Oreochromis niloticus: one gene and its partners. The main gene of each other region encodes a partner of the protein of the gene in region 3 in a complex. Links are inferred from orthologs where the notes say so. Each region holds a gene or a part of one and is shown on either strand. Other genes may lie near its edges. The genes, in order: sgf29, kat14, wdr5 and KAT8 regulatory NSL complex subunit 1.

Region 1 (7,878 bases), on a different chromosome or scaffold from region 3:
CTGTATTGACACACTAGAGCATACAATTAGTATTATATTCATTTTTTTATCTTAAAACCTCGATTTGCTTCATCTTCTTAGAATTTAACTCTGTCTATTTCTCTGGGTGCTCCCCTGACATCATCAGTCACACACACACCTTCCTCTTACACACACAGGAGCACAGTATTTCCTGTTTCTCTTTCCTGTTTCTACAAATTAATCAAACACTTGTTTTTTCATATTTACAGTCTACAAACCCTCTTTTAGTTTTACTAGGTCTTGGTCTAAAAACAATACACCCTCTTCTCACACACACACTTTTAAATATACTAAGTTTTTGCATTTTTGTCAGTTTTTGTCACATCATTCGCACAATACTTTCATAATCATCTCACACCCACTGCCTTTTCTCTCAAACTTCTCCCTTTTTCACTCACTCAGACAAATCATTCAGAGACATTCAAATCAAATACTGACAGCATTCACACAGTTAAAATCACTCAAAATACGCTTTCATACGAGTATCTTGGACATGCCTTCCATGATCAGAAAGAGCAAGTCAAAAAAAGAAAAAAGAAGACTGAAACCTCTCATCGTCTCACACACAACTTCTCACCACACACACATAACTGAAAAATAAAACACACCAGCCTTTATGGCTCAAAATATATACATCTATCAAAATTCAGTCACTTACTATACATCCACTACAGCAACTCAAAACTTTATTTATAACCCTCTAATAAACATAAATGGTGTCTTAAACACACGCATTCAACAATGTTTGCAGCAGTACTTGTGAAACCAACTGTGGTTTAAGCAGTTCACAGCTTCTTAATTTGCATTTTATTGCCTTCTAGGACATTCTAGTCTCTAATTCCTCTGTTTTCATGTTATCTCCGTTTTACACACACAAACACACACTCCCCCTAAAAACCCACAAAAAACTATCCCTAAAAACACACACAAGAGCCCTTAAGAAACTTCATTCATTTATTTATTATTATTTTAAACCCTTAAGATGTTGTGCTGTGTTTCCTCTGTGCCCGTTGCAACCTATATTAACATAAAGCCAAAATGTAAACAAGTCTGTCAAATCTAACTACTTATATGTTATTGGACTAAAAAACCACTTACAATCTTCTAAAGTCCTCCTTTGCCCAACAAACATCAAACGACTTACACCTATATGTATCACTCAAAGTCAACAATACATTAGGAACACCAAATGTAACTGTGTATATTATCTCAAACTGAAACGAAACCCATCTAAAAATCCTAAAACATCTTACTTGAACACACCAAAAGAGACATCACTTACAGACATATTTATTAATGAAATTATTTCAAAGTCAATTTCAGTTTTCAAACCCCAAATAACGGTCATAAGTATCAACATTTTATGTATCCTATCTCAAAACCCAGCAAACAGTCATACAGTCATGGCAAGAAATAAAAACTTTACTTACAATATTGTAATAAGCGTCTTAAACACAGCCATTCAGCAAGGTGTACGGTCTCTATCTAAACTTCCTAAAACTCTAGGGACCTTCCAGCTGCCTTATTTGCATTTTCACACACACACACAATCTAAAAATAATACCAGTCTGCTGCAGTGCCCGTGGCAGACAGAGCCTATATACAAACATAGAAATTATAACACAGAGACGTCTGATAAATTAATTAATATTTACAAGGCCTTAAATTGCATAACCTACCGAATTTAGACGAAATTTTAACTTAACCCTCCAAGGGACAAACTCCAAGTTTTTTGCGATCAATTAACCAGTATCGGCCCCGGACCGTGGTCACATATCTAATGCCCTAACACAATTTAAAAGCGTCAACCAACTCAACCCCTGCTGAAAAGCTCTATTTAGGGGCATTTCACATCCCAGGCTTCCCCGAAGTTTTAAGTTAAAGTTACACGCCCAAAACCCGGTTTCTATTGACCAAAAAAGTGCAAACCACCGCCCCGGACGGTAAACTGACCTAGTCAGTAGCTATTTTGGGCCGTCCCCAGTTGCCCACGATTGCCAATCGGACTATCCCTTCCCAAGGAAAATCCTGACCGTCGCCAGGAAATTTGGAGCGTCACCTCCGAACAATGCACTTCTCAGAATTCCCAGAATCCCGTACTACAAAAATTTAATTACTTTTGAAGACACCCCATAAAATTACACAAGCAATGTTATTGATGTCCAAGCCCGGCTTTATATTCAATTAAGACTTGACTGTCACAAACTCTTCGCCAATAACCTATAACTCTAAATTCAGTCTGCAGTTCAACTGCTTTAAATACACTTATTCTCTTTACTCTTTACTTATTTTCTCTTATTCTCTTTACTCTTTACTTATTTTCAACGTTTTATTATCATTACTTCAACTTCAATTCTCATGAGATTTTCACCAAAATCACAGCAGACATTTATCAGTAATTTCAGTGAGTAGACTTTTAATTTTGTCATAACCAATCCAGCACTGTTTGGAAATAATTCAACAGGTAGTGCCTTACCTTTGAATAAGCCGGCTTATGTCCACTCACTTCGACCACTGACTCGTGTCTGCCCGTTCGAGCGCCTCGGACCCTCTCGGTCTCAATCTCCAACTCTATGTCCTCAACCCTGGCCAATGCACCAAATGTTACGGGTCCGAAATTGAGGACGAGAGTAAAACAATGATGGTCCAAAAGAGGTCGATCAAACAATTGATTTTTAATGAATACACGCAGCGTGGGGAGACGTACACTGGAAACCATCAGTTGTAAATCCCCACCCAAAAATACACTTCAGATTGCTTTTATAACATCAGGGTATTATGACGCCCCCTCATGCGTTTACAAGCACATAATTTGCATCTTAAGAACATTATTTGCCTCTTCTACAGACAATGATCAATTTTAAGAGATAACTACAGAGACAAGAGTTCCCCTTTCTGGCATCCTTTTCCAAATATGGTGATGAGGTCCCCATGGACTTGTCCTCCTCTTTGGCCCATCTTCTGTCACCTGTTACTAGGCAAACTCAAATGCAACAAAAAGCTGAATACATTCAGGCCTTTGCTCAGCTACTATTTTACTGTAACAATATACTCAGCATATAAGCTTTTATGATTATAGATTTAACTCAACAATTTAAGTTGTTCTAACTGCACCTGTAATAAACATGTTAATATTTGATTATGATAACACCTGTAATACAAATTATAACATAATGCCAGCAACTTCAATAAATGCTTGGATGAAATGATAATTAATGCAATGATAAAGATGATGGTTATGTGAAATAATCCCTGTAATTCCACATTATCTGTCAGGTGTGTGCTGACCTTCTGACTGCTTCAGGGATCAATAAATAAAACCAATAACAGCTGGATTGCAGGTAGAGAGTCGCTGTGTTTATCTGTGGCGCTTTTCCTTTGAGTGTCTCCTGCACGTCGGCGCTCTGACCTCAGAGTGACGGGTCACCTCGCCACAGACGTTAATGATTAACTATCAGGATGTTTACCTGTAGAGTTGTTTCAGTGTCGGATGACACCAGCAGCACACGCCCGACAACAGGCTCCTCCTCCTCTCACCTGAGAGATAACCACCCATTTCTTCTAACAGAAAAACAACAGTCAGCAGGATTTTATTTTGAAAGGGACGCTATCAGACAGCAGGTTTAGAGAAGACCTGAAATCAGATTTCCTGCTTCAGAAGCGGTGACAGACTCTCTGTCCTCAGCCTGGAACAAGTTTATTCCTCTTTCATGGAGCTGATATCAAAGAACCAATCAGAGGCCTTCATCTGCTCGCACACTGAAATCTTAATGAACTGTATTTATGATCGATCAGTGATCGATGTGTGGACCTCACGTGTTCCTCTGAAACATTCACTGCAAGAATAAGAGTTTAATGAAGCTTCAGACCCAGAAATACCGATCAGCGATCAATCACTGCATCTGTCTATCACTGTAATCAATCGCAGTGATGGAGACAAACCCGAGGAAACTAAAAGCGTTGATGCTTTTAATGGAGGCTGCAGAGCGTGAACGTGTGCAGTTATCAAACACATGGATCACACGTCCACCAGAATCTGATCTTTATCTTCAGTTTACGGCTGAATCCTGGACTCCATCTTTATCATGAGACTGGAAACGATGACTTTTCCCCTGTTTGTCGTCCACAATGACTCACATTTCTCAGTCCAGGGGTTAAAATCCAGGCTCTGCTCTTCATTTACTCGTAGCCATGGTGAATCCTGGTATCAAGCTGGTCTGTTTTTTTAAAAAAAAATTCAGGTTTTTAACATGAAGGTGATCTGTGGAAGGTTTACCCCTCCTCTCGGGGGTAAACCATAAATCAAAAAAACATAAATCAAAATACAGGGTCAGGCTAGGAGAGAAGAAACTGGAATTCGTGACATTATAGTTGCAGGTTCACAAAAACACACACACACATTTTCTGTTTTATATTTCTTAAATATTTCTTTCTTGTAAATTTCCATTTTTAAACTCACTCTGTCTCCTTCTTCTTACCCCAGCGTATATCTTGACAAAGGATCACAAATTTCCTCCAAGGAAACACTAGATTACCACAGAGGCAACTGTAAACAGCACAGGTAACGGGAAAGCGACAAAATGTTTGTACACAAAAAAATAACACTATAGAGCTGGAAAAATCTTTAAAAAACCACAAAATAACTGCACACAAATAAATTACAGATAAATAATGAATGGCTACAAAGGGGTATAATAAAGTCATATAAGTACAAGAAAAAGAAATACAATTTTTAAAGCAAAATGTTTACGTTTTTAAGCGCCCCGTGTCTGCAGTACCACACTCCGCCCAGCTGGTGGCAGTGTGTTCACCGAAACTGCTGCACACAAATAGCACCAAAGAAGAAGAACAGAAGGCCAGTACCTGCGGTTCGTGAGTTGAGCGCAAATAATTGAAGAAAGTGGTTCGGTGAGGAGGTTTGGGGGCTGGTTTTGAGGGAAATATGACGCTTATTCCGATCAATGATCTATCTGAGTTGAATATATATCGCTAATGTTTTTCTTTATTTCAATTTTTAGCGTTACGAAGCATCTCCGAGCCGTTTTTGTCTGTAGCGAACTTTACATCAAACTCCGTTCAGAAATCATTTATTTAAGACATACCGTGTTTTCCAGGCCACATCCAGCACACATAGAGCATGACTTCAGTTATATTGCATACGAGTATTAATTCGGAACTTTATCTCCAGTATGTTATGACCGCGGTGATCGAAATGTTCAGACTATTTGTGGTTTGTGAAGTGTTCACCGTCATTTAAACCGCCTTAAAGTAGAAGTTTTTTAAATGAGGTTTTGTGTGTTGTAACTAAGCGCTGCTGTTTGATGCTCCACATCCTCACAGGTTAAATCATGTCCGCTGACCCCAAGATTGCGGAGCTGCTCACTGAGCTCCACCAGCTCATCAAACAGACACAGGTTAGTATTGATCCGCTTCCTTTGTGATTGATCAGGTCAAGCTTTGATCACATCCTAATTACCTGCACTCGGCCTGCTTCAGGAGGAGAGGTCACGCAGTGAACACAACCTGCTCAACATCCAGAAAACACACGAGAGGATGCAGACTGAGAACAAGAGTGAGTGTCAGCAGCTTTGAGCACATGTGCTGAATTTGTCTTGTGGTCCTAAACGTGGACGTGTGTCTCCTGCAGCTTCTCCGTACTACCGCACCAAGCTGAGGGGGCTGTACACCACGGCCAAGGCAGACGCTGAGGCGGAGTGCAGGTGAGAGGCCACTGAGCATGACCTTTAACCCTTAAAGATCATGGTGATGTCACTTATACGCTATACAGGAGACTTCCAGTCTCAAGCTTGTTACTGTTTTGTTTAAATAAAGGTTATAAAAATGAAAAAATAAAGGGGGACAGATGCATGAACACCATGACTGAAGCACAATAAGCAGTAATTTCCTCTGAGTACAGACTGAGACTCTGTGCTGTTGGAGCCTTTTTAATGACATCATGTGACCAGTAATATGGCTGCTGTGAGGTCACTGCACGAACAGGCGATCCAACAATCTGAGCTCCAGTTTCCGTTCATGTCGGGTTTCTAGCCTGTTCGTTTTCACATTTTTACTAAGAGTGTGAGGATGATCAGAGGGTGAAAATCACCTTTTTCTTCTTCTCTTGTGTCTTTTCTGTCAGCATTCTGCGTCACGCCCTCGATAAGATCGCAGAAATCAAGTCTTTGCTGGAGGAGCGGCGGATCGGTGCGTGTCCGGTATTCCGCCTCTCACATCTTCCTATTTCATGTGACACAAAACTCATCTGTCTGTCTGTCTGCAGCTGCAAAGATGGCGGGCGTTTACAGCGACAGTGACCCTCCCAGGAAGACGATGAGGCGCGGTGTCCTCATGACGCTCCTCCAGCAGTCGGCCATGACACTTCCTCTGTGGATCGGCAAGCCAGGGGAGAGGTAGGTGGTACTGCCCCAACGCTGGTGGCCACGATATTAGGCACTAGTGACGTCCCCACAACGCCATGGAAACACCTGATGGTGTTAAAGAGCAACTTTGTGTCCCCGCCCAGGCTTCCTGTGAGGTCACGTCTTTATTTCAGGCTTTTTATGCGTTTCTTTCACCATCACGTTAAACGGTGGCATCTTATCTTTAACAACGAGGACGTCACGTTTACGCTCCGAGTGTCTCTTCTGTTCCCGCCATGAGCAGCGAGCGGCACCGGCTATTGTTGGTAGCTTGTACCCGATGCTCAGGTGTGCTCCGGCTGACTTTCTGATGTGGCGTCCTCTCTGTGACTCCTCCCTCTCCAGCCCTCCTCCTCTGTGCGGGGCGACCCCTGCGAGCAGCGACTACGTGGCCAAACAGGGAGACAAGGTGGCGGCGAGGGTGAAGAGCGTGGAGGGCGACGAGCAGTGGATCCTGGCTGAGGTGGTCAGCTACAACCATTCCACCAACAAGTAAGAACACGTGACCGTTTGTGGCGACGCCTGCGTGGTGTAATGCGATCGTCAGCCTCTGACGCCTCCTCTGCTCCCCCTGCAGGTACGAAGTGGACGACATCGACGAGGAGGGCAAAGAGTGAGTTCTGCTTCGTTATGTTCTCTGACAGGAACAGCGTGAACGGCTTTCACGTTAAAGCTCGGACTGCAGCAAGTTTGTGAGCGAGGCCGGAGAACGACTCCCAGCTTTAGCGAGAAGCGAGCGTTTATAGGATTTTAAATCTGCTCTGGTTCTTTGTCCCTTCTCGGTGTTTTCCTTCTCCTGCTTTTCTTTATTTGCTCTTCTTAAATGTTTTTTTCCACCTTTTCCTCTTCGGCTTTCTTCTTACAGTCGTTCTCGTGCTGCAGATTTTCGTCCCTTCGCCTGTTTTTCGTTGACTTTCACGGTGAAATTTCCTCCATTTTCAGTTTCCATCGTTATTCATATCAGTGTACAGACGTTAAAATCAGAGGCTGGTTTATATGGGACGGTTTAAACCTGATTGCCACGCCTCTGACTCATTAATGAATGCAGTGATTGTGGGCGGGGCTCGTATGTTTCAGACCGCGAAACGTGTGTTGATCTTGTCACAGAGGAGTAAACTGTGCCGGGCTCTGTGGGAGAATCTCAGCAGCTTGTTCTCTGAAAGTGACAAATCTGCTCCTCCTTCTTCTTCTTCTTCTGTGCGAGCAGGCGGCACACGCTGAGCAGACGGCGGATCATCCCTCTGCCGCAGTGGAAAGCCAACCCGGAGACTGACCCTGAGGCGCTGTTCAGTAAGGACCAGCTGGTGCTGGCCCTTTACCCTCAGACCACCTGCTTCTACCGAGCGCTGATCCACACGCCGCCGCACAGGGTGAGGCTCGCCGCGCCGCCGCTTACGGTTTTATTTTGACAGGCGCGTCTGTGACAGGTCAGCCTCGG
Region 2 (7,805 bases), on a different chromosome or scaffold from region 3:
CTCGGATCTCGGCCAGCAGCCGGAGCTTCGGCGGACGGCTCTCGTAGTCCCGCCTAGACAAAAGAAAAGGAAAATGGAGAACGCAGGTGTGGACCTCCACCTCGCAGGAAGCTCCGAGGACTCTCCGACCACAGGTGTGGCTCGGGCTCGGAGGTTTACCTGATGTACGGTTTGAGGAGGCGGGAGGTGTAGGGGCTCCTGATGGTCTGCTCCAGGCTTCCTTCAGCTCCCATCAGACGATGCCAGAAAGACACGGACGGCTGCTGGACGCCTCGTCTGCCGGAGACGCCGGTCTGTAAAACATGGACAGGTGAAGCGAACAGTGTGAACACTGCATCAGCTGCAGCGATTGGTGCACGTGGGCGTGTCACATGGACGGACAGGAAGTGTGTGCGTTACCTGGAAGCGATCGAGAATCCGCAGCTCCTGGCTGCTGGTACAGTATTTCCCTTTCACACCGCCGCCGATCTGTGATCCGGCCTCCTGGGCGCCATAGATTCCTCCCACCAGGCTGAGGGTGGCGCTGACCACTTGGTCGATGTCCAGCAGGGGGAGCCTCCTCTGTCGTTTTGCCTGGCGAACCAGCAACTTCCTGTGGAGGCGTTTAGCCTGCGGCGTGACGGCCAACGCGAGCGGGCAAGCGTCCAGCCGTCGCAGCAGCATCCTCTCCTCGTACAGACTGAGGGTGGCATAGCGAGGACTCTGGGCGTTGCCGGCAGCGCTGTCAGTGTTCTCTGGATGAGTCGTCCTTCTGCGCTCAGGTCCTCCGCCACCGCCGCCTGTGGACACCGGGGCGTCTTCACTTTGTCCTACGGGTTCTTCAAAGTCGCCCTCCCGCTCGCGGCCTTCGTCTTCCTCGCTCTCTGCTTCACGCTTGATGTGAGGCGGTGGCGGGCGGAGTTTCTTGCGGGTGCCCAGGTTGGCACTGGCAGGCGGGATGTACTCGGTTCCCGGGTCGATCATCCCCTCTGTTTCCATCTCCTCATCATCTGAGTTGGAGGAAGCAGAACGCGCCATCAGCGGTTACATCACATAAAACCACATGACCCTGCACCAATCAGGTGGTACCTCACCGTGGAACAATGCCTGTGGCGGCATGGCGTCAGGGATAAGGTCTGCCTCCGACAGCAGGCTGGGCGTCGCCGAATGCGAGGCTGGCGTTCCCGGGGCAGAAAAGTCAGGTGAAGGCGATGGCGTCGGGCTGGTGAGCGGCGTTCTGTCTGAGGAGCTGAGCGAAGAGAAGTCAATGACCTCACCCTTCTCCAGGACCAGATCTGGGCGCTGCCCACCACCCACACCACGGCCTCCACCCAGCTTGACGGGCGTGGAGGCGGCGCTACGGTCCGTGTATCCGCCCGCCGCTTCCTTCTGGGCCCGCCGGATATCTTTGGCCTCCTGAGTGCGTGAGCGTTTCTCCTTCAGCTGCATGGCGTTCTCCACGGGGTTCCGCGCCCCGCGTTTGCGCAGACCCTCCACGGTGATGATCGGGTCCAGCACGGGTTTGGACGCTGTGGGTAAACAGCGTCCAAGGTCAGAGGTCAACAAACACCGTCCACTTGGGCGCCAGCGTTCGATCACGGCTTACCTTTAGTCTTTGTCACGGATTTGTCCACTTCTGGTCGGAGGGTTGGAGGTCGGTTGTGGACCAGCTTCCACCAGCCGGGCTCACCGAACTCCTGCGCTCCAGAGCGGAAGAAGGCGGGGCTTCCGACCGACAGGCAGCCCGCTACCGTGCTCCACCAGGTTGATGTCTTCTTCCTGCAAAGAAGAGTGCAACACGAATGTGAGCGCCGGCACGTTATCGATAAAGACCAAAACTTTATTGTCTGTCTGCGATCGACCTCGAGCCCAGCAGGAAGTTCCAGTGTCGACCAATGAAAGCGCAGATGTCCTCTTTCCACCTGAAGTAGCCCTGCCGGCCCGTCCCCTCCAGAGACAGGTTGTACATGGCCAACATCACCACCTGCCACAGGAAGAAGCTGCCGTCAGCACGCCGAGTATTTGAGGTGTGTGTCTGTGTGTGTGGGCGGGGCTAAAGTCCTACCTGCTGCCAGGTGAGCCTCATCCTCTCGAAGCTCTCCTTGCCATCTTCGGAGCAATCGGAGCAGACGAATTTGAAGAAGTTGTCTCCCTTCAGGTAGCTCGGCTGCTCGCCGCGGAGCTGAGCTGCAGACGATCACAGGTACAGAGTCAGCTGCTGCTGCAGACCTGCTGGGGGTCTCCTAGGTTACCACCAGTGCCTGCTCTCAACTCATGAAGCTGCAGACGAGGAGCTGGACTAACAGCTTCCTGTCTGGCTCCACCCACACCACATCAGACCTCACCTTAACTCTCATACCTGCTTACATCACGGTCAGAGGTCACATTAAGGCTCATATCATGTGATCATCCATCGCATCATGTGACACTTAACTGAGAGCATGCTCACGCCGTGTTCTGGAGCCGGGCTAAAGGGCGTTCACGCACACTCAAGGAGGAGCTCGTACCTGAAGGTGGGGCCATGTGGAGGAAGCTGCCGCGCACAGAGGTGCAGATCTCGCTTTAGAGTTCAGCGGGTACGACTGTTGATTCACGTGACAGCTTTAATGAGTGCAACGTGAGACGGACCGGTCGGCACGCGGTGGGAGCGTCTGGATCACTTTTGTTCCCGCCATTTCGCTCTCAGCGTATTGTCCTACCGCGTAGCTACAACTGTGGTGTCGCCGGGAACCCACAGACTTGATTGCGTTGGGTTGTTATAGCAACGTGGCCGAGCATCCTGTGACGTCACTTGTGTGTGACATGAACGAGAACAAAGGAGGCGATGGCATTCCTCCTGCTCGGTCCGTGGCATTTTGTCAGACTCGTGGGCCGCAGGTTTCAATTTTCCCGAAAGACTCGCTCTCATGACTCACAGACTGGTGCACCTGACCAGCCAATCGGTGGCATGCGGTCTGCTGATGTCACATTTTCAGATTGCTCGGCAGCAGGTAGTGCCACCTACTGGAGAAGGTCGGTCACGTCAGAAACGGAGCGCTGCAATTGGCCAGCTCACCTGCGGGGATCCACTTGTGGCAGCGGTCGCAGTAGAAGGACATGTCCTCGCAGGCCCAGCCCCCGTCGGCGTCCTCACCCACGTCACTGGTCAGGGAGTCGCCACTCTGGTCATGTGACAGGTCCACGGAGCCCTGGTCCTCCGACTCAACAATCAGCAGCGTCTCGCCCTCCACCTCCCCCTCTTCCAGACCGTCCGACGCTGACGTGCAGGCCGCCTCGTCCTCCCCACCCACCAGCTGCTCGCCACTGCTGTCCATCCTCCTGCTTCAGGTACGGCACACCTGGGCAGGTGACCACTGCAGTCTACACAAGAGAAGAAACATTACAGTTGACCTGGTCGTAAGGAGACTTGGGGATGCAATAGGGTAGGTGCATGAGAGCATTTACCTTTTTCAGGTGTCCTGTGGGTGAAGCCTGGCCTCCCGGTTTCGTCTCTCCTCCGCCAGCTGTCGGGTCAGCAGCCGCTGCTCCTCCAGCAGCCGCAGGTTCTCCTTCCTGCGCTCGAGCCGTTCCAGATCCCTGACCACGCCCTCACGCAGGCGCTGCACGACAAACACAGTGACCACTCATCATTGATCAAGCTCTGAGGACATGTGAGCTCATCTCCACTGGTTCACTTACAGATCCTGCTTCTCACTCATTAATCCCTCAGTGCTCCGCCCCTCAGCACCTGTACACAGTCAGGTCTGCTTTCGGTCCCTTGTAACAGAATCCACACCTATGAGGGCTCGATGCTTTGGTGTGGAGTCTCTCCCATATGAGCTTCACAGCTGGACTGAAAACTCACCTCTGCCACACAAACTTACACCTTTGACCTTTTTGACTTGTGTTGCAAAGCGTTCTTGTGTTTCTTGTAAGGCGCTGGAGAAAGTGATTATTATTGATCACTGATTACTGAAACAGATGTCACAGGTGAGGTGCCCGAAGCTTTGTTCCCATGATGTGAACACCTTAAACCCAGGTGTGTGATTTTCTGTTTCTTTGTTTTATTTAACAGCAGGACTCGTGACCTCACAGAGGTCACCCGAGAGAAAACGCACCTCCAAAATAAAGGCAGACCTGTAAGCGTCACAGAATCCGAAATGAAACATCTGACGCCACTGCAGCTCTGTCAGTCACATGTTCTGCACTCACCTGAGCTAACGTTAACTCAGATAACGCCTGATTAGCTAACTGAGCCATAAATGTAAGGAATGACGATGATTATCATTGTTTACCAGCCATCTGAGTCTTTTATTTTGAAAAGTGTTGGAGGAAGCGGTTTTTGGCTGCTGTTTATCGTCATTATCGTGTTTATTTATTATTATTCTTTTAACGTCTGTGTGACGTCACCTGTGTCCGTTCAATTGCGTTTAACCACCACCTGTGCTTTAGCGTTAGCCTCGTTAGCCCCCGTGACCCGCTCCGGCACACGGAGGCTAGATGTCAGCCCGGCTCGGCTTACCTCTCTGTCCCAGGCCTGTTTGAGGTGCACCGCGGCCACGGTGCTCACGGTCAGAACCACGGACACTCCCAGGACCACCTTAGAGACCGCGGACATCACGCTGTCTCAGCTCCGGCTAACAGTGGCTAGCGGCGGCTAAGGTCTTCTTCTTCTTCTTCTACGCTCATCGGAGCTGCACCGCCCCCACCGGCCGGAGTGTGACACACACGCAGACTCGCGTCAAAGAATCAAAGGCCAAAAAGGCCAAAAATGTTCGTTTGTTTCTTCTTAACCTCCTAGGACCTGCCGTCCACATATGTGGACATCACATTTTTGGTTATTTTGACCAAAATACTCAATTTTGCTCTACATGGGCCTGATATCCACTTACAAGGACATTATACTGCTACTGTTCTATCAAAATTTTAAATGAATATCCTCATTTGTGGCTCTCATTTTTCTTAAAAACAAAAATAAGGTAAAAAAAAAAATCTGGAAATTCTTTGTTTTTACATTCATTGGGCCCCAATATGCCCAAATATCAAAGAGAAATTAAAAATGCATGTCGTGGAAGAGTTCGGGTCTTAGGAGGTTAAGGTGAAAACCAGGACCTCACCTGTCCTCCCTGCATCACACTCGCAGGGTGTGTTAGTGTGTTGTGAAGTATCTCCTGTCTCCTTTCCTCACTTCCTGCTGAGGACTTAGGAAAAGAGAAGAGAAGTGGAACGACCTCACACTCTTTCTCCTTAACGGTGTGAGGCCGGATGTCGTGGGCGTGAACTGCAGCGCTGTGAGGGAACCGTGATCACGGAGCTGAGCCTGCTAAAGCTGCGGTCCTGAACTACATATAAACTGTATAAAAGGGGCGTGGTCACAGCTGGAACATGCAAACATGGAGGGAGCATGCTCTTTGAACAGCTCCTCCTCCTCCGCCGTGCCTGAGTCAAAAGCTGTGAAAGTGGTAACATGACCATGCCGGGCACTTAGAACCTGAGCTGTCACACCTGAGGCCACCTTTAGCTAACATCGCCACGTCCTCCTCCTGCCTTGCATCCAGCTCAGAGTGAGTCCCAGGTACGTGACACTTAGTGAGGTAGTGACCTTTGAGACGGTCCTGAGAATCATTGACTCGACTGTCATTATGTGAGTCTTTGGAGTGGAAATGGCAGTTTATTCCACCTCTGAGGTGGAGCACCAACCATCGGCTGTTGATTAATGTCCACTCACACCTCCACCTGTGAAACAACTGAATTCAGCTCAGATCTTCTCACGCCTGATTGGCCGATCAGTCGGGCCAGTCAGCTCTGAGCATGCTCACCACAGGTATTATAGTTTTTACCCCTCAGCTGTAGAAGACGTCATCGACAGAGAGGTGAGGCAGGATGGAGCGGGTGGAGACGAGTATGACAGGAGAGCAGCAGGAGTGAAACTGAAGGTTTGGAGGTGGAGGCTAGGAGAGGAGGAGATGGAGTAAAATCTAAACTTCACATTTACGTTTAGGTATGTGAGTGAAGTTGGCCCCCCCACCTTCTTCAAATCCAACAAAAGTGGTACCAAACGTTTGTGCTACGTTTGTGCTGCAAACATTTTCGTTTGTGCTGCTATCATTTTAAAGATATTAATAAAAATTTCTACAGGTCATCAAAGTACAACCAGCCCCCCCACATTAATGGAATCCAACAAAAGTGGTATCAAACGTTTGTGCTGGTTTGTGCTGCTAAAATTGTCATTTGTGCTGCTTCTGTTTTAAAGATATTAATGAAAAGGTAAACATGAACAATGTGCTGGGGGGTTAGTTCCATGATTGTTAGTATGCAAATTCTTATGACCATTGATCAATGACAACTAATCAAAGCCTACTGATCAATGGCCATGAGTACCATTCACAGAAAGTGGGGAATGGCTACAATCACAGCATTGTAGGATGGCGAAAGATGTACCCTTGGGCCCCCCTTCTCGATTCAGAGATGGTCAGCATCCTGACAGCCCGATGGACGAAGCTGTCTCTCAGCCTGTGTGTTCTGGCCCGGAGGCTCTTCAGTATCCTTCGTGAGTAAACTGAAGACGCTGCTGAAGGGATGAGTGGAGTCACCTGTAATGGAGAGGACCTTCCAGATGAGGCAGGTGCAGCTGGTCTCACTACCCGTTGTTATTTTTTCCTGCAGAACCCAGTGCAGGAGTCATACCACACAGTGATGCAGCTGGTGAGGATACTCTCAACTGTGCCTCTGTAGAAGGTGCTCATAATGGGGGTTGAATCTCTTGTGCTTCTCAGTTTGCAGAGGAAGTAGAGTCGCTGTTGGTCTTCTCCACATTCAGGGACAGGTTGTTGTTGCTGTACCACTCTGCCAGATGGTTAACTTCACCCCTGTAGTAGATCTCATCGTGGGTCAGCAGAGTGAAGAGAAGGGGGCTCAACACACATCCTTGGGGAGCCCCCGTATTCAGTGTTCTTGGGCTGGAGGTGTTGCTGTCGAGCGTACTATCTGCTGTCTTCCTGTCAAGAAATCTGGCAGCCAGTTATACAGCAAGGTGCTGATCCCCAGCAGATCCGGTTTGTGAATGAGTTGCTGGGGAATGATGATGCTGAAGGCTGAACTGAAGTCTATGAACAGCACTCTGACATACGAGTCTCTAGTGTTCAGATGTGTGAGGGCTGAGTAAGGGGCAGTTGAAATTCCGTCATCGGTTGAGCGTTTTGACCGGTATGCGAACTCAAATGGATCCAGGTTGGGGGAAAGCAATAATTTGATTTGATGCATGACTAACCATTCAAAGCACTTCATAATGATGGAGGTGAGTTTGACAGGACGGTAGTCCTTAAAGCAGGAGGTAGATGACTTCTTGGGCACAGTAATGATGGTGGAGGCTTTGAGGCATGTGGGAACGGCGGCCTGACCCTAGTGATGTGTTAAAGATGTCTGTGAAAACATTTGTGAGTTCCACAGCATAGTCCGTCAGTGCTCATCCAAGGATGTTATCAGGACCTGGAGCTTTGCGTGTACTGATTTTGGCAAGGGATCTCCACACACTGTCTGGGGATTTGTTCCCCACGGTCTGCAGAGTGGGCTTGTAGTCTGTGATGGTTTGTATTCCTTGCCACTGCCTCCAAGTATCTCTACTGTTGCTGAAGCTTTGCTGTAGCTGATGCCACGTGACAGGTTTGCCCTTGCTGTTCTTAGGCTCACCTAATTCCCGGCTCTGAAGGCTTGCATTTTTCAACCTTAGGAGCATTTAAACCTGACCTGTGAGCCATGGTTTCTGATTGGCCCGGACAGTGATAGTCCTGGTGTCACGACCTGCAGGATCGGCAAGGTGCTGATCAGAATCTCTCCACTCCTAGCCC
Region 3 (7,733 bases):
TGTTTTTTAGATGTTCCAACTCTTTTGTGCTGTGCACATTTCATTTATATAAAAAAATGACAATCAATTACTTACATGAACTAACCTAATAGTTGTAGTTAGTGCCACTACTCTTCAATCGCCACGCTGATACCTGCCAATCACTCATCCAAAATCATGCTCATAAATGTGCCACAGCCAATCATGCTTTTTCTTATTTATCTTTATAATTCTTCTAGAAAGAAGATCCCATGCCAGATAACATCACTAGACTCCCTACTCCTGGATAACTAAAATAAAAATAACCAAAACTGTTGGTCAAATATTCTATGATGGTAATATACCTGTGCAGCTTGCTAAAATGTATGCGCAGCAAACAGAGTTCAGTATTATATCACACATTTCAGCAGAATCATTTAAATAATCTCCCATCTTACCGAGCTAACGTCCCAAATCTTCAGGGTTTTGTCATCTGATGCAGATACCAGGAGGTTGGAGTCAGAGGACCAGGCCACATCAGATATACCCTGCAGATTCATGGGAACTGATCAGGACTTGAAGCTCTGAGAACAGCTAGCATGGGGCCAATGTAAGAACTAATGGAACCATGGCTTGGCTCTTAGTAACGACTCCAAACATCTGATCCCAATTGACTAAACATCAAGGATGCTACAGTTGCTCTACGTAAGTCCAGCCAATAAAAAACAAAACCATTAACACGGCAGGAGTATAGCTGAGAATTAGTCAAACTCACAAGTTTGTGTCCAGATATGGTTTTCTCAAACTTGCCGTCATACGCGCCCCAGATTTTGATCAGTTTATCAGCAGCTGTAGAGACAGAATGAATACGCACTCAGCATAGGTAAAAAAACAAAACAAAACACATCATCAATCTTAAAACTCAACAAGAAGCTGCAATAATTTATTGATAATTATTAAGTTGTGAAAAAAAATTGGTATTTCCAGCAGTGATTTTTACTCACATGAGCTGGCGAGCCATTCTCCACTCGGACTGAATTTGACAGAGGACACAGCTTTGGTGTGGCCCGCTAATGTGAACTTCAGGCTGTAGTTTGGCTTTGCAGGTGCCGACTGTAAGTGAAAAAGAAATACGACATTTAACAACTCTTGGCTGAGATGTGACAAATACACTAACATTCATCTAAGTCTATATTAAACAAAATACATTCTCTTATGAATCCCAACTATGGCTATTTCTTGGCCCTAAAAGGCTACAGCTGGAACAGAATAGTGATACTCCAAAAATTCAAACCTTGCTTTGGCTGGCAGATGCTGACGGCGCTACTGGAGGTTTTGTGTCAGTCTCTGGTTTCTTGTCTTCAGTTGCCATGGTGAGGAAATTAGCATTTACTGTGTACTATCCTAAAGCAGAGGAAAAAATAAATATTGAAATAAATACAAGAAGACATTCTTTATGCCACTGGTGATGATCAGTATATCAGTTATAAATACCAATGAACACATATAACAGCGAGCCTCAGTAACCTTTCAAGAGGTTTGCATGAACAATATCACTGACAGCCTGGATAATATGATTACATTTTTCAAACTGTCTCTTTCACGCTCAGACACTTGGTGACTGACAAACAACTAGTTTAAAATAAGTTTAGCCAAATTAAACTTCCCTTTCAAAACAAAAACTCAAAAATACTAAAGCCACTTTTTGAAGTGATAAAAGAAAAGATTGTATTTATAAACTTCACTACTGCGTCATTAACTTGATTTATAACTACTACTGTGTAAATGCCTGTCAATGTTTATGCCTAAAATAAAATAAGACACATTATACAATACAATTCGTTCGCTATTAAAATGACCATTCAACACATGTTTCTAGCTGTTTTTTCATTGAACTTTTTTCAAATCAACTATTTTATGCACCCAATAAATCTTACATCTTCGAAAAAGCTATTCTTAGTTTCTGATAGGTTTTCAAGCAGCAGATACACTGGCACACTCAAAATTTCTTCAGAAATTTTCTAGTTTGTGTTTATTTATTTATTTACACGATGACTATGCAATTTTTTTCTAGTCTCTAAAATCCTGATATTAAAGTTAGTCAATGTAGACCTATAAATACATACATACATACATACACACATATATATATATAGATATAGATATATATATATCCCTGCATTAACTGCAACATTCCTTGACAGTCAAGTTGAAACGAATTTTAGACTGAATATAGTCGACATTTAGTCTGATAGTGGTATTAAAATCCAATGAAAGGGCAAACCTCTTTCTCCATCTCACATGACAACAATGATATATATTGCATAACGCCAAAAATGCACAAAGTATATACGAAACCACCTTGGTACATTAACTTTACATTAACAGCAGTTTAGCTCACGATGTTTCCTTTTAGTTTTATGTCCCTCATATGAGCTGCAGTTTTTGCTAAACGCCGCATTTAACCCAGTTGGTACCGGCTGCAGCTATTTTTTCTTGTTCGTGTTGCTGCTTTCTCATTTAGCTCCAAGTTTAGCCATTTAAGCTAGCTTAAGCTAGCTAGCGTTGCATTACTTCGTTGTGGCTACTTAAAACCACCAAACAGAAACGCATATGCATTCAGCTAAGACTAGATGGCATCTGTTTGCAATATATTAACATGAATTCGCGTTTAAATGGAACAAACGTGCGAGAAAAGAGAATATCAAACAAAGGGCGATACGGACTCCCTTGGCTGGAAAAATTCAACTCTTGACTATGATCGTATTTGAACGACAGCTAGCTACGCTGTTATATCACTATTCAGATGTTTAACCGTCAATCATAACGCCACGTTAAAACTGGTGGTTTTATATAAACGCTAAAGGGTATTTGATGATGCAGCCGCCGCTGCTCGAAATGCACTGGTGCTGTTGACAAACTGGCTGAGGTGCCATGGAGGGGCCCTCCATTCACACAATGAGGATTCAGTCATAAAGACGATACTCACAGATTAATGGAGCTTCACGGTCAGATTGTTACTCCTCGTAAACACACGAAAGGGTAAAAAAACACCATGTATGTGTATTCAGACGATCATGGAGAACGTATACAGCAAGTGACTTGCTCTTGGATGATTGCCTGTAGGGAAAGAGAAGCGGGGAATGTGGTGTGCTGTGGCTTTGCGCATGCGTGTTACGCTCTTCTTCTTCTTTGGTTTTCACGACGGGACGCAAACCAACGTGTTTACGCGCATACTGCCACAATCCATTAAACAGAGAGTTTTGCATGTCATTCATTATTATATCTTCCATTTTTATAAAACAGTATTAAACAACTGTTGATAAAGACGTTTAGAGAAGGTCAGGAGGAGTTCCATTGTTTCTAGAGAATATGGGGCATATGATTGGGTACAAGAGATGAAATGTGGCAAAGAAATATGTTAAGGTGGTGGAGGACATCTAGGAGGACAACAAGACAGTGGTGTGGTGTGCAATAGGAGTGACAGATGGATTTGAAGGAGGGGTGGGATTATATCAGGGATTGGCTCCAAAACCACTTCTTATTTGCAGTGGTAATGGACAGGTTGACTGATGAGATCAGGCGGGAATCTCTGTGGACTATGCTGTAGAGAGAGTATAGAGCAGGTGGAAAAGAGTCCGGAAAGGTGTAGGTATAAGATAAGATAAGATAAGATAACCTTTATTAGTCCCACACGTGGGAAATTTGTATGAGCATTTAAGTCCGTTTGAAGCAAGACATATTAAATATGTGTGAATGAGAAGGAAACACATGTAACATTGAAAATCCAAAGAATAAAGGTAGTGAAGGTGGATGAGTTTAAATGGTAGTTTAAATCAGTGCACAAGTGAAGAGGAGTGTGCAGGCAATGGTGGGATCAGGATAGCAGCACAAGTCAAAGGGAAGGTTTAGAAGATCATAATGAGACCTGCTATGATGTATGGTTTGGAGATGGCGGCGCTCATAAGAAGACAGGAGGTTGAGCCGGATATGGCAGATGTGAAGATGCTGAGATTTTCATTGTGAATTACCAGAATGAACAAGATTAGAAATGAGTACCTGAGAGCAAGGTTGATCAGCTTGAAGACAGTTGAACAGTGTGTAGAGAAGGGGTAGTGGATATACTGGACAAAGGATGTTGGAGATGGAGTTGCCAAGCTGGAGGAAAAGACGAAGACCTCAGAAGAGGCTAATGGATGTAGTGAAGGAGGACATGCAGGGTTGGTGTGGCAGAGGAGGAAGCTAGACGCAGGGTTAGGTGGAGGCTGATGATCCACTGTGGCGACACCTAAAGGGAGCAGCCGGAAGAAGAAGAAGAAGAAGAAGAAAATCAATGCTCTTCTCTCTTGGGATCATTACACTTTCGGTCATTTTGGGTTTATTCTCGACACCCTCCGACACAGCAGGCGGCGGTATACGCTGTTAACTTTGGCTAAAAAATTGGTCACAGAAGCCTTCGACGAAGGGGAGCTTGTTACTTGAAGCCATGCCCGCAGCAGGTTTGTGTGGAAGTTTTCAGCTGGTCTAAGCGCAGCCAGGAGTTACCGTATCTCGACTTTTTACTCTGTTTGGCCTTCGGTGCGGTGTGAACGGTCTTAAATAGAAACTATCATTTCAAAGTACCTTCATAAGAAGAAAAAACGTGTTGGTAAACACTCGTGACTCTCCCGTCATCCTCTGCGAAACAAGTTATGTGGTACATGTATGTGTTGCCGTTATCTGAAGGTAATTGCGAGCGTTCAGGTAACAGCGACTGGCGTCCCTATAAAAACTTTGTAAGTGGTAAGTTAACCGCGGCAGAGCAAGGCCCAACTGTAATAAACAAACCCCAGTAGGCACTGCACAAGATACTGTGGTGGGTTTTTTATTGCTCATTTGCAGTGAAGACTTATATTGGCCATGCGCCCATATAGGTTTACCTTAACCTGCTAGCCAAGTGAAGCTAACGTGCTGAACGTGACTGGTTAGGTTTCCCAAGAGCTGGCCTCCTGATTATTTAACTCTGTCGTGCTCATTTAAAACTTGACAATCCAATTCTTCCTTCTTACTCCGTTAAGTTAGCATTATATTAGTTGACTTGTATTTAATGGTATGATATTACATGAGCTAGGGTTGAGATTTATACCGCGTCTGAGATCATGCAAACTCTTACTGCCTTCTCCAGTGGCGATGTTTAGTAAAATGAGCAAACGAAATAAAATTAGATTTAAAGAAACATTTGATCTGGAATAAAGGAAAAATAGATTTAAATGTTAAAATGGATAAAAAGTAATATCACCTCACTAAAACTTGAAGTTAAATACATGAAATGTATTTAGTCTTCCCCAGTTTGGTTTTATTTATTGAGAAAAGGATGCGTTCACAATAATATGTCTTGAAATATAATGTGTTAACTTAGGCCAACAAAATATAATAATATTTGAAAAATAAAGTTTTGTAAGCTATTTAAAAACTAAACTGAAATGAACAAAGCCTCTCTCAAAATTAATTGAAATGCATTAGAACTGCAAATAAAATTGAAATAAGAAAAAATCGAAATCACCTGCTCCTTTCTGCTGCTCCCTTTAGGGGGCCCCACAATGGGTCATCTCCCTTCATTTCACCCTATCCGTAGCACCCTCCTCTGTCACACTAACACTCTCCATGTTCTCCTTCACTACATCTAAGAATCTCTTCCTTTGTCTTTCTCTTTTCTTCATACCTAGCAGCTCCATCTTTATCATCCTTTGTAGCAACCTCAGTCTAAGCTGACCCTTTCATGTACTCATTTTTAATCTTGTCCATTCTAGTCAGTCCTAATGACAATCTTAGATCTTCACCTTTAACGCCTCCAGCTCGACCTCCCGCCTTTTTGTTAGTGCTCCAAACCATACTTCATATCCCGTCTCACTCCCATCCTCTAAACCTTCGCTTTCACTTTTGCTGCTATCCTCCTGTCACAAATCACCCGTGACACTCGTCTCCACTCACTTCCCCCATCTTCACTTTCTTCTTCACCTCTCTCGTGCACTGTCCTTTGCTTTTAATGGTTGACCCTCACTGTCACATGCATCCTTGTACTAACTTTGATTCCTCTTCTATCCGATGCATACCTCCATCTCTCCACCTTCTCTAAATATTAAAATTAGAATAATTGCAGGCAGATTGCTAGACAGCTAAATAAACATAGCTGATTCCAACACCATCAGTGAAACAGCCTCTTAAATTTTGTCAGTGTATTTGCCAAGAAAACATTGCTCAGTTCACATGCCCACTAAACCTTTATACACCCTCCGTGTCTTCTGCTTATCTGAAGCCGGGTTGCAGTATTCAGACATCCTTCTCCCCAGCCACTCTTTCCAGTTCCCCATGGGGGTCCCAAGGCATTCCCAGGTCAGATGAGATGTATAATCTCTCCAGCAGGTTCTGGGTCTACCCCAGGGTCTCCTCCCAGTTAGGTATGCCCAGGAGCCTTTCTAACTAGATGCCTGAAATGCCTCAACTGCCTCCTTTCAGCATGCAAGGAAAAGAGCCTTTATACAGTCATGTGCATTAATTACTAATCAGATTGTTTTACATAATAATAAAATGAATGTGATAAGCTTCAAAAGATATGAGATATAGTCTGTTTTTGAAACTATATCAATGGTGTGAAGTAATCAGTCGCTTCCTCTTTTTAGAGTTTTATATTTGATATTTGGAGAACCACATGATCATAACAGTCTATTCTTTTATGTCAGCAGGCCACATTGTGTGGTTTGACGATTCCCCAGCCTGCGTCATGCATAGTTTTCACAGTGTGTGACAAGCTGTCAGGTGAACACTACATGACTTACAGAAGATAACAGAACCCAGAAGAATTCGTGCAGCCACCATGTCCGCAGACACCAACCAGGACCCTCCTCAGCTTGTTAATCCCCCACCTCCCGAGGTGACCAATCCCAACAAGCCAGGCCGGAGGACCAACCAGCTGCAGTATATGCAGAACATAGTGATCAAATCCCTGTGGCGGCACCAGTTCGCCTGGCCTTTTTACCAGCCTGTCGATGCAGTTGCTCTTGGACTGCCAGTGAGTAGTTTGCACATGTTCAGCTGACAGGGTTACAGTGCATCAAGTCATTTTTATGGGTTTTTCACAAGTCATGGTACAAAAATGACTTCAGCCTCAGGATTGCAGGGCTTTTCTTCAGTTAGTTGCACAAGTAAGTCATAGTTTTGCTCATAATGAAAATATTTTTTATTTTTTAATTCCACAATGTCCCCGTTCTTTATGCAAAAGTGATGTTAACTGGGCATGATCATACTGTTATATGATCTATTTAGCCATTGTTGTTAAATATACATTTACTGGTAGCTGCCAGCAGTTTTTTCCCCTAGGTATATATAGATATATTTTTTGTAGTTTTCAGATACGCTAACTTGCTTTGTGCTGCTGGCTCTGTCTGTTCTTCTTTTCTGAAACTACTAGATCTTCTTTTCGTTTTGTTATTCTCTCACTGTTAATATTAATGTTGTCTAAGATATTTTTTTGTTTTTCCTCCCTTTTATTTTTGTTCCTAATTCTCACGCACAACCCACATACCACAGTGAGTATAGAGATAATGGAATGCAGTGTAACTCTGTCTTGCATCTTATCCTAGTTTTAGCCATACTTCAGTAAGAAATGACTCAAACCTGCCGACATGTCCTTGATCCTAAATTTTAATACATCAGCAAGAATGTGTATGAAGTGAAACTAATTTGTTTACCCAATTTAGTGCTGAATCTAAAAATGCAAACAATTAAAAAAAAATCAT
Region 4 (8,298 bases), on a different chromosome or scaffold from region 3:
AAGAGAAATTCAACGTAGTTCTCTACTGAGAAGTGTTTTCGTCTAGAAACGGCTCCAATCGATGTCTGGGAAACTGAGCTGAGATGTTTACAAAGTTACATTATATCTTCTCTTGTCTCACTGCCATTTAAACCCATTAATAAATGAAAATGGAAAAATATGTGATTTTAGATTGTTTCAGTAACTCTGATCTCCTGATGCTTGTTAAGTAATAAGATGAATGCACCTCACTTATTCTAACAGGTCTTGCTGGTCTCTGAGCATGATCAGACTACCAGAAAGGACATGCATTGCAAACACTTCATTATCTGTGTGTCTGTGTAAATCAGAGGGAGGAAGAGAGCGATTGTTCAGAAAATTAAGGAGGAAATAATGGAGTGTTGCAGAGAGAATACATTTTTAACAAATATAACTGAATTTTAATGGTTATAGTGATAAATTTAGATGGAAAATCTGTAATTTTAGATTGGCTTTAATCTCTGATCATTTCTGAATTTTTTTTTCTTTTATAATAAAGAATATCATTTTCAAAAAATGTTTGTTGTTTTTATAAGAATATTACACTTTTTACAAGCCTAACTTTTTCAGTCAACCGGTCCTGTCACTAGTTTCATTTCTGAGAATTTCTGCATTTTTTTCTTGGAAATGTGATTGCCATTTCCTATTTATTTACCACTTTTAAAAGTGTGATTTTCACCTCCTAATATTACTTCTTCCTTTTGTTGTTGCTTTGTCTTAACCTAAAATGACCTCCGCAGGTCTTCATGGGACGTGAACTAAAAACATCACTAAAACAAAACAAACTGGCCGATCTGTGACTGTCATAACTGGCAAATACCCATCCATCCATTTGGTCCTGCTCCACGTTACAGCTGATGCAAAGATGTCTCAACTTCCTTGTGCTCCTCCTAGGCGATCCCTGCAAACTTCAAGGGATTCCCACACTTCCAGGGATATGTAATCCATCCCACTTGACCAAAATACATCCACAGGGACATGTCCACAGAGTATCCTAATCAGATGCTCTTCACTCGGGTCCTCAAAATCCAGGCTACTTATATCCCTGATGTGATCTTATCTCCAAAGCCATAGGGTGGCTGCAGCACCCCCTGGCTTTAAAATAAAGATAAATGCATATAACAATTATACCTTTAACTCCATTGTCGATGAACTCCATTCAATAATCCAAGGGATCATTTTTCCGGTTTCCACACATGAAAACATGACACCTAAAATGAAACAAAACAAACAAACAAACAAAAAATAAGATCACTTGAATCGTATTTAAAAATTTCAGACAATACATTTAACTATGACGGCGTAGTAGGAAAAGATACAGGGTTAGGTGATGTACGAGCCTCTAACTCTTGTGGAATTTTTTGTTTGTACATGTTGCAAGTTATAGCTGCTCCCTTATTCACAAGGCCCTTGTTGGGCCATGTTGTTGATTTGGCAGATTTTACTTTTTATTTTACTTCAGTTCTTATGCTAAATGCCAATCCTGATGCTATAGAGAAAGAAAATTGGAACTGGCAAAAAAAATTCCATAAATCAATCGATATCAGCACATTACACTAACTAAAAAAAGTTGTAAATTAACGAGAAAAAAAATGGGGCAAAATTTTGAGGAAAAAAATGGCAAACTTACAGGGGAAAAAACTGTGGAACTTTGGAAAATTGCCCAGTAAAAAATGGACAGAACAACCCTTAAAATTTGGGGCAATTTAACACAAAGAACAGCTAATTTACACAACAAACGTGTGGCTAATTTCTGAGGGGAAAAAAATGCAAATTAAAGAAGGAAAAAAGGGATATTCACAAAAAAAACCTGTAGAAAGTTTAATAGAAAAGCAACGGAGAATTAGGATTAATTTGCAAATCTGGGACAATTAAAAAAAAATGTAACAAACAAACAAAACGGAAAAATGAAAACAATGCCAGAATTATATGAAAAACAAGGCGCAGTGTAAGTAAAAAAACAAATAGATATAAAATTGGCACTGTATGAGAGCGAAGCAGGACGTATGTATGTATACATGACGTTTTTCAGTGCTGTACACTGTTGAGGGTCCGTGCACTCCTCCCATCGCCTGCTGCACGTAGACCTGCGCTGCAGCGTAGTGAATATGAGTTTGTAGCTTGTTGTCTGCCTTAACAACATACTTGGAAGGAGGTGTTATTGGTCTTTTATTACAAGGAGTTCAAATTTCTGATTTTTTTTTCAAGCTTAATGTTCAAAAGTGAAGCAAAGTCGCTCATTGACTAAAAATAAACACTATTTCTCCTATTTTTCTCGTTAATGCGCGACTTACATCTCGGAATTTGAGCGTTTTTTTCTGAATTATACCCTCTTCGCCCACCCCCCTATTTTTTTTCTAGGACTCGGTCTTAAGTAGCGTCTCCCCAGCTGTTTATTTTTATTTATTATTTATTTATTTATCTGAATGTCCTGCTGCCACGCTAACGCTAGCTAAAGCTAACATCCACTAACGTTATCGTTGCAAATTTTTATAATGAAAAAGTTTTAAATGTCGCCTAATGTCAGCACAGCGGTGTAGAAATTTAAACGTAAGTTTACAAAAAAGCGGCTCCATCACTGAACGCTGTGTGAAGGAATGCGCCACTGGAGATTTATGCCATAATCAAACAGTAGTTTCTCCAGTTGCGGAGCTAACAGGCTAATGTTTGGAACTCCCAGGCTGCCAGATAGCAGCCAGCTGAGCTAGCAAGAGATGCTAACGCTCGCTAGCTTGTTTGCTTCCCGATCCCACTCTGACTTCTCAATGACTGCTGCACGTTTAGCAGAAAAGTGCGCTTAAAAACTCCGCCAGCTCAAGCCAAACAACCGGGGGCTTAACGGAATGTGTGTTTTTTTCCTGCCAAGCGGAGCGTTCATTTATTTTAAGAAAATAACAAGACAAAATCTTACTTACCTGCTTGTCCTGTTACTAACCGTTTACGACTCCATAATACCAGCCCCCCCTGCGCTGCTATTGGTCGAGAGTCCAGTTCGAGGCTTTCTATTGGCTCCTGCAGATGTCAGTCTTTGCAAATGCCCGTACAGCGGAAATGTGGACGAAAGTTCATAGCATGAAACTTCATTATCCCAAAATATATTGTTTTTATTTGAAAATGTTTCACAACTTACCCGTCATTTATGGAGCACACCTTTTACTGCGCCATTACACGACTGTTCTCACTCAAATTAACTACACTGTCTCCCATTTTGATGCTTTGTTTTTGGGGACTACTGCTTAGAAATGAGCCACTGGTTTTCACTGCACAATAAAAAACCGCAAACATAAAGCTAATGGCAGCGCATGAGTTTGTTTACTATATTCTGTTGCATCGTATTTTTAAGCAGATAAGAGCTGGCGGGGTGATATTTCACCGGTGAAAGGCACAATAGCGGGTAAATCCCTCACAAGAATGGAGATTCACTTGAAGCTGCTGATGCTTACTTGCAGGCAACGGAGACAGGATGGGTGGATATATAAGTCAGTGAGGCAGCATTGTGCTGGCTGCATGAAAATCCAGCGGTTAGCATTGCAGAGGGACAAACTGTGGGGCTGTGTCAGTAAAGCTTAAATCTGACCTTTCTCAGGTACGTGCAGGGGGAGTGAAAATGACTCAGGAGCAGAGGCCTGGCTGAGGGTGAAGCCTTTTCAACATTTAGAGCAGGGGTGTCAAACTCATCTTAGCCCAGCAGCCACATGCAGCCCAGTTTGATCTCAAGCGAGCCAGACCAGTAAAACCACTGACAAGTTTCCCCTTTCTTTAAGCGTGAAGAAGCAGACTTTGAGCGCAGTCACCTGGGCAAGATTTTAAAAAGCTGAAACCATAAGAGTTAAGCAGGTCCCCATACCCCACTCTATTAAAAACAACCACAAAAGGCAATTTTTAAAAGAATAAATGCAAAAATAAAAATATATCCAAGTTACTCCGCATTCAGTGAGTACAGTGTAATTACATGTGCGTTACAATTTGCAAATCACCTTGGAAAAAACTTCACATCTGGAGTTTTTGTAAGTATACTGCTTCAGTATTTTACAGTTTTGTGGTTCAAACAACTTGAAAAACGTACCTTTTCATGCATTTTCATTTCTGTGTAGTCAGGCGAGCATCACCACATTTTACTGAAAAACTGCAGTTGTTAATGAATTCACAGTGGGACCAGTGGGACCATTTGGCAGCTGGTTCTGGCCCCTGGGCCACATGTTTAACCACTGCACTGTATGAACTTTGTAAGCATCCTTTTCTCCTCTTTTTTTTTAATTCAAATGTCACCATTTACATTTAGAAAAATGCATCTTTTGAGGAGGTATTTGAGGCTTTTCGCATTGCCAAGGCTTTTCATTCCTCAGCTGCTGAATTGATATATGGCTATCTTCTACGCCTCTTACACTGCACTGAATTTAAATATGAATTTCTATTCAAGCCAGTAAATTAATAATCTGGCTCCGAATGTGAGGCAGACCTTAGCCAACATCAGTGCTCGACCTCACTGTTGTTGGTAAAAGAGAAATATCTGGAATATTGTGTGCTCATTGATGGTCATGTGGTCAAAACTTCAGGGACACACATGCTTCACTTATCTACACATCTATGAGATGCGTCTGTTATTCTGAAACCAAATACATCTACAGCATGAGGGTAAAAATTAACTCCCTACAGACCAAAACTGTGGGCCTGACCCAGAAAATCCTTTAATAAAAAAGTGCACCTGTCCAAATTTAAGAAGCTGGAATCCTGACCAGAGTGCAAGACCTCCTTTACCCTTCTCCCTTGAAAATTTGACATAATATTACCAGGCATTATTTTCTTGTTAATTTTTTTTTCTTGTAACAAATGAAAAGGTGCAATTTCAGCTGAGCATTCACTGAGTTTGCTGTCATCACATGGAGACATACATTAAACTTTAGAATGAATACAACACTACTTGATGTCTTTATGACTCAAAAAACGTGTCTACATCTAGAAACACTTTTGACTTCCCATAAATTTTGACACTTAAGTAGTAGTGGAAAGCCATTCAGTGGTCCAGTTTTGGCAGGCATGAAAAGGATGAAGATTGGAAAGGTGGCTGGTCCAGATGACATACTTCTGTAGGTATGGGGATGTCTAGGAGAGAGGGCAGTGGACATTTTAACCAGGATGTTTAAGGAATGAGGATGAGCGTACTGGTACTGATTTTTAAAAACAAGGGCGATGTGCAGAGCTGTAGGACCTGCAGAGGGAGGAAGTTGATGAACCATACCATGAAGATACAGGAAAGAGTTGATGAAGCTAAGTTAAGAAGAAAGGTGATGATGGAGAAGTATAGAGAAGGTCAGAAGGAGCTTCACTGGGTGAATGAGTGAGAGACAGGTGTAACAGTGCAGTTGCTGGAAGCAGAGGTAGTGATGGTGAATAAGTTTAAATACCTGAGGTCAACCATCTAAAGCACAAGGGAGGTGACGAGGAGAGTGCAGGCAGGGTGGGTTGGGTGGAGGATGGGTGTTAGGGGTGATTTGTGCCAGAAGGAGCAAGAGTGAAAGGGAATGTTTACAACATGGTAGCAAGACAAGCAGCGATGCATAGTTTGGAGACAGTGGCACTGACAAAAAGACTGGAGGCCGAGCTGATGTTAAGATTTTCTTCGAGAGTGAGCAGGATGGACAAGATTAGTAATGAGTACATCAGAGGGACAGCTCAGGTCGAGCAGTTCAAGACAACGTTAGAGAGCCAAGGCTGAGAAGGGCTGGACATGTGCAGAGGATGGAGAGTGGATATAGTGGAGAAAGGATGTTGAAGATAGAGCTGCCAGGCAGGAGGAGAAGAGGAAGACCTCAAGGGATGTTAATGGATGTTGTGAAGGAAGACATGAAGAAAGGTCACAGAGGACGATGGTAGGGATAGGGTGGGATGTAAGCAGAGGATCTGCTGTGGTGATTCCTAAAGGAAATACCTGAAAGAAGAAGAAGAAGAAGGAGAAGAAGAAGAAGAAGAAGAAGAAGAGGGCCTGTTCTGAGCCCCGTGTTGGATGTTTGACAGCCTGGATATATTACAGGGCAGTCAAATTTCTTGAAATCATCCACCAAATTTTAAACAGGACCTTACGTGGACTTCACTGCACTATGAAAACACTTTATTATTCACATGACATGCTCACATTTTCCAGCTGCATTATCATTGTTTTTATCTTTTTCACCTTTTCAGTTTTCTCAATTCTTCCTTTTCTTTGTCTTTTCTGCAACCTTTCCACCTTCATTTCAGCTCATCCTTCCACCCAGCTTCACATACGCACTTTTAGATTATGTACAGTGGCACAAGAAGTTCATGTTTTACTTATTATTATTTATCACATCCTTTATTTGTGCAGTAGATTTTTCAAAAGATATGCCGACAAGAGGGCAGCTGAGATTATAACAACTATAAACTTAAACAATCAGATAAATACAGTGTTAACATCATTTCAACAGGGTTAAAACAGATAAACAAATAAAGAAACTTCAGTAAAACTTTATCATCAGATCAATAAATAAACTCGTATGTGTGAGTGCTGTACTGATTTTAAATCAGTCTAAGGTTTACATATAGACGTACAGGAATGACCGTTTAGTGGCTGCATACAGAGAACAGTGGTGGTCTACCAGACTGCTTTAGCCAGTAATAAAACAAACAAGTGCATAAAGTCCAGTTTGATTTAAATGGGTCACATAAATAAGCCTGTTTAATAAAAATATGTTCCTCCAAATAATGTATTAGTAAGTGGGCTGGTTCTTGTAGAGCAATTTTCTATTCTACTCAAGTTCTCAAAGTGATTTATACAACTGACCTCATTCGCCCATTAACACAAGCTTTTCTCATTAACATTCACACCCAGGGGTTCACTTGTATCAGTATTACATCCAAGGATACTTTGGTACAGGGATACAGGAATCAAACCATGAGCTCTACGGCCTGAGCCACAGCCACCCACCAAAAAAAAAAAAAAAATCATTTTCATAAAGTGCAAGTTACAGTAATTCAGTAAAGGAAGAACAGCTGAAGAAATCAAGTGTTTCTTCACTTGGTGATAGAAACAGGAAACCTAATAGGAGGCTGTCACAAAATGTTTTTGTTTTGACATTTAAATGGTTTGGGTGTCTGTCTATCTGCATTAACACCAACTTAAGTAGTGTTAACTGAGAATTAACACCATTAGTCTTCAGGATACCGTTATCATAATGCTCTGGGCTGAGGAGCATATTTCAGTTAATCCTCTGGAAAGTTCATTTTCTTTACCTCATTTTACCATCGGTGGTTCATCTGATGTGTTGGCCTCATAGGAACATGTAAATGTAGTTATAGGGAAACAACACTAGATGGCGCTGAGACATCACACACATCACCTGACTGAAGCTGGGCCCTGTAAAACTGTCACTCAGATATTCACTATGCACAAATGTGCTACTTTTAATTTGCTTTTATAATCAGCATCCAAGCATATAATGCCTGACTGCATGCATGGCGAGTCTTAAACATGTATAGGGGGATGAAATTCAGTTCTGTTACATTTTTATGTCATTAAAACTGCATCTTCATTTACTTACAGCAGTTTGCAGTTATAGTTAACCACAGGAAAAATTATAAGTGCGTTCAGCTACAAAACAGCTTGATATAATCCTTTACTTAAATGTGTTTCTAAGTATTTATTGAGCTAAAAAATATTAAATTCCCACATTTTTCCTTTAAACGCCTCTTTAGGTAGATTTAACTCTGTATAATCACTTTTCTCAGACCGCTGAGCAAAATTGTTTAATATCTGCAGCATATTCTTCATTAAAAGGATATTTTCAACTATAATACTAATGAACTGAAAAATGCTGCACCAAAATCCATCTCACACCCAGAGGAGCAGTCAAAGACTCCTCACAGAAAGTCCAATTTCAGCAGTCGTACTCTTTTTTCTGCTGAATTTTAATTTGTAAATTGTAATTAGATTCTTTTTAATTTAATTTTAGAACAGTTTCCACAATTTTTCAAGCAGTAACAGAGACGTTTCCCTTTGGGGGAAGATATGAAAGTTTTTCTTGTTCTTATTCTCAATGATATTTTTAGTTTTCTCAGTGTCTGTGGATTCAGTCTGAAGGTAATTTAGGTATGAGACAGCAGACCGCTCCATCCGTGCAAAGATGAACATTATGCAAATGCTCATCTCAATACTGATAACACATCCATTCCTAAAAAAGTCACGAAAGACTAGGAAAAAATGCTGAGACTGTACTTGGCAATGCAACACAATTAATATGAATTATGAGTTCATTGAACAACTTC

The links.
Region 1: wdr5 (region 3) and sgf29 share a complex: the UniProt entries of both Homo sapiens proteins name them as parts of the ADA2A-containing complex. The link is inferred for Oreochromis niloticus from reciprocal best matches to the Homo sapiens genes WDR5 and SGF29.
Region 2: wdr5 (region 3) and kat14 share a complex: the UniProt entries of both Homo sapiens proteins name them as parts of the ADA2A-containing complex. The link is inferred for Oreochromis niloticus from reciprocal best matches to the Homo sapiens genes WDR5 and KAT14.
Region 4: wdr5 (region 3) and KAT8 regulatory NSL complex subunit 1 share a complex: the UniProt entries of both Homo sapiens proteins name them as parts of the NSL complex. The link is inferred for Oreochromis niloticus from reciprocal best matches to the Homo sapiens genes WDR5 and KANSL1.

What each region holds. Positions count from the first base shown.
Region 1 is NC_031969.2:33,667,704-33,675,581, reverse strand, and holds the start of sgf29 (SAGA-associated factor 29), read left to right. Parts: upstream 1-4,785; 5' UTR 4,786-4,929; intron 4,930-5,361; 5' UTR 5,362-5,369; coding exon 5,370-5,435; intron 5,436-5,517; coding exon 5,518-5,593; intron 5,594-5,668; coding exon 5,669-5,741; intron 5,742-6,160; coding exon 6,161-6,225; intron 6,226-6,301; coding exon 6,302-6,431; intron 6,432-6,785; coding exon 6,786-6,932; intron 6,933-7,017; coding exon 7,018-7,053; intron 7,054-7,647; coding exon 7,648-7,810; coding exon of another isoform or gene 7,811-7,849; exon of another isoform or gene 7,850-7,867; intron 7,868-7,878. UniProt on the Homo sapiens protein: Chromatin reader component of some histone acetyltransferase (HAT) SAGA-type complexes like the TFTC-HAT, ATAC or STAGA complexes.
Region 2 is NC_031971.2:41,838,489-41,846,293, reverse strand, and holds the start of kat14 (cysteine-rich protein 2-binding protein), read right to left. Parts: upstream 3,328-7,805; 5' UTR 3,294-3,327; coding exon 3,035-3,293; intron 2,167-3,034; coding exon 2,045-2,166; intron 1,964-2,044; coding exon 1,842-1,963; intron 1,759-1,841; coding exon 1,586-1,758; intron 1,509-1,585; coding exon 1,074-1,508; intron 990-1,073; coding exon 400-989; intron 294-399; coding exon 160-293; intron 54-159; coding exon 1-53. Other genes in the region: protein PET117 homolog, mitochondrial, read right to left, coding at 3,429-3,578, 4,481-4,576. UniProt on the Homo sapiens protein: Component of the ATAC complex, a complex with histone acetyltransferase activity on histones H3 and H4. May function as a scaffold for the ATAC complex to promote ATAC complex stability. Has also weak histone acetyltransferase activity toward histone H4.
Region 3 is NC_031972.2:29,231,102-29,238,834, forward strand, and holds the start of wdr5 (WD repeat-containing protein 5), read right to left. Parts: upstream 3,137-7,733; 5' UTR 2,948-3,136; intron 1,363-2,947; 5' UTR 1,331-1,362; coding exon 1,253-1,330; intron 1,072-1,252; coding exon 963-1,071; intron 808-962; coding exon 734-807; intron 507-733; coding exon 417-506; intron 1-416. Other genes in the region: bromodomain-containing protein 3, read left to right, coding at 6,812-7,006.
Region 4 is NC_031973.2:4,610,644-4,618,941, reverse strand, and holds the start of KAT8 regulatory NSL complex subunit 1, read right to left. Parts: upstream 3,005-8,298; 5' UTR 2,934-3,004; intron 1,230-2,933; 5' UTR 1,150-1,229; intron 1-1,149. UniProt on the Homo sapiens protein: Non-catalytic component of the NSL histone acetyltransferase complex, a multiprotein complex that mediates histone H4 acetylation at 'Lys-5'- and 'Lys-8' (H4K5ac and H4K8ac) at transcription start sites and promotes transcription initiation.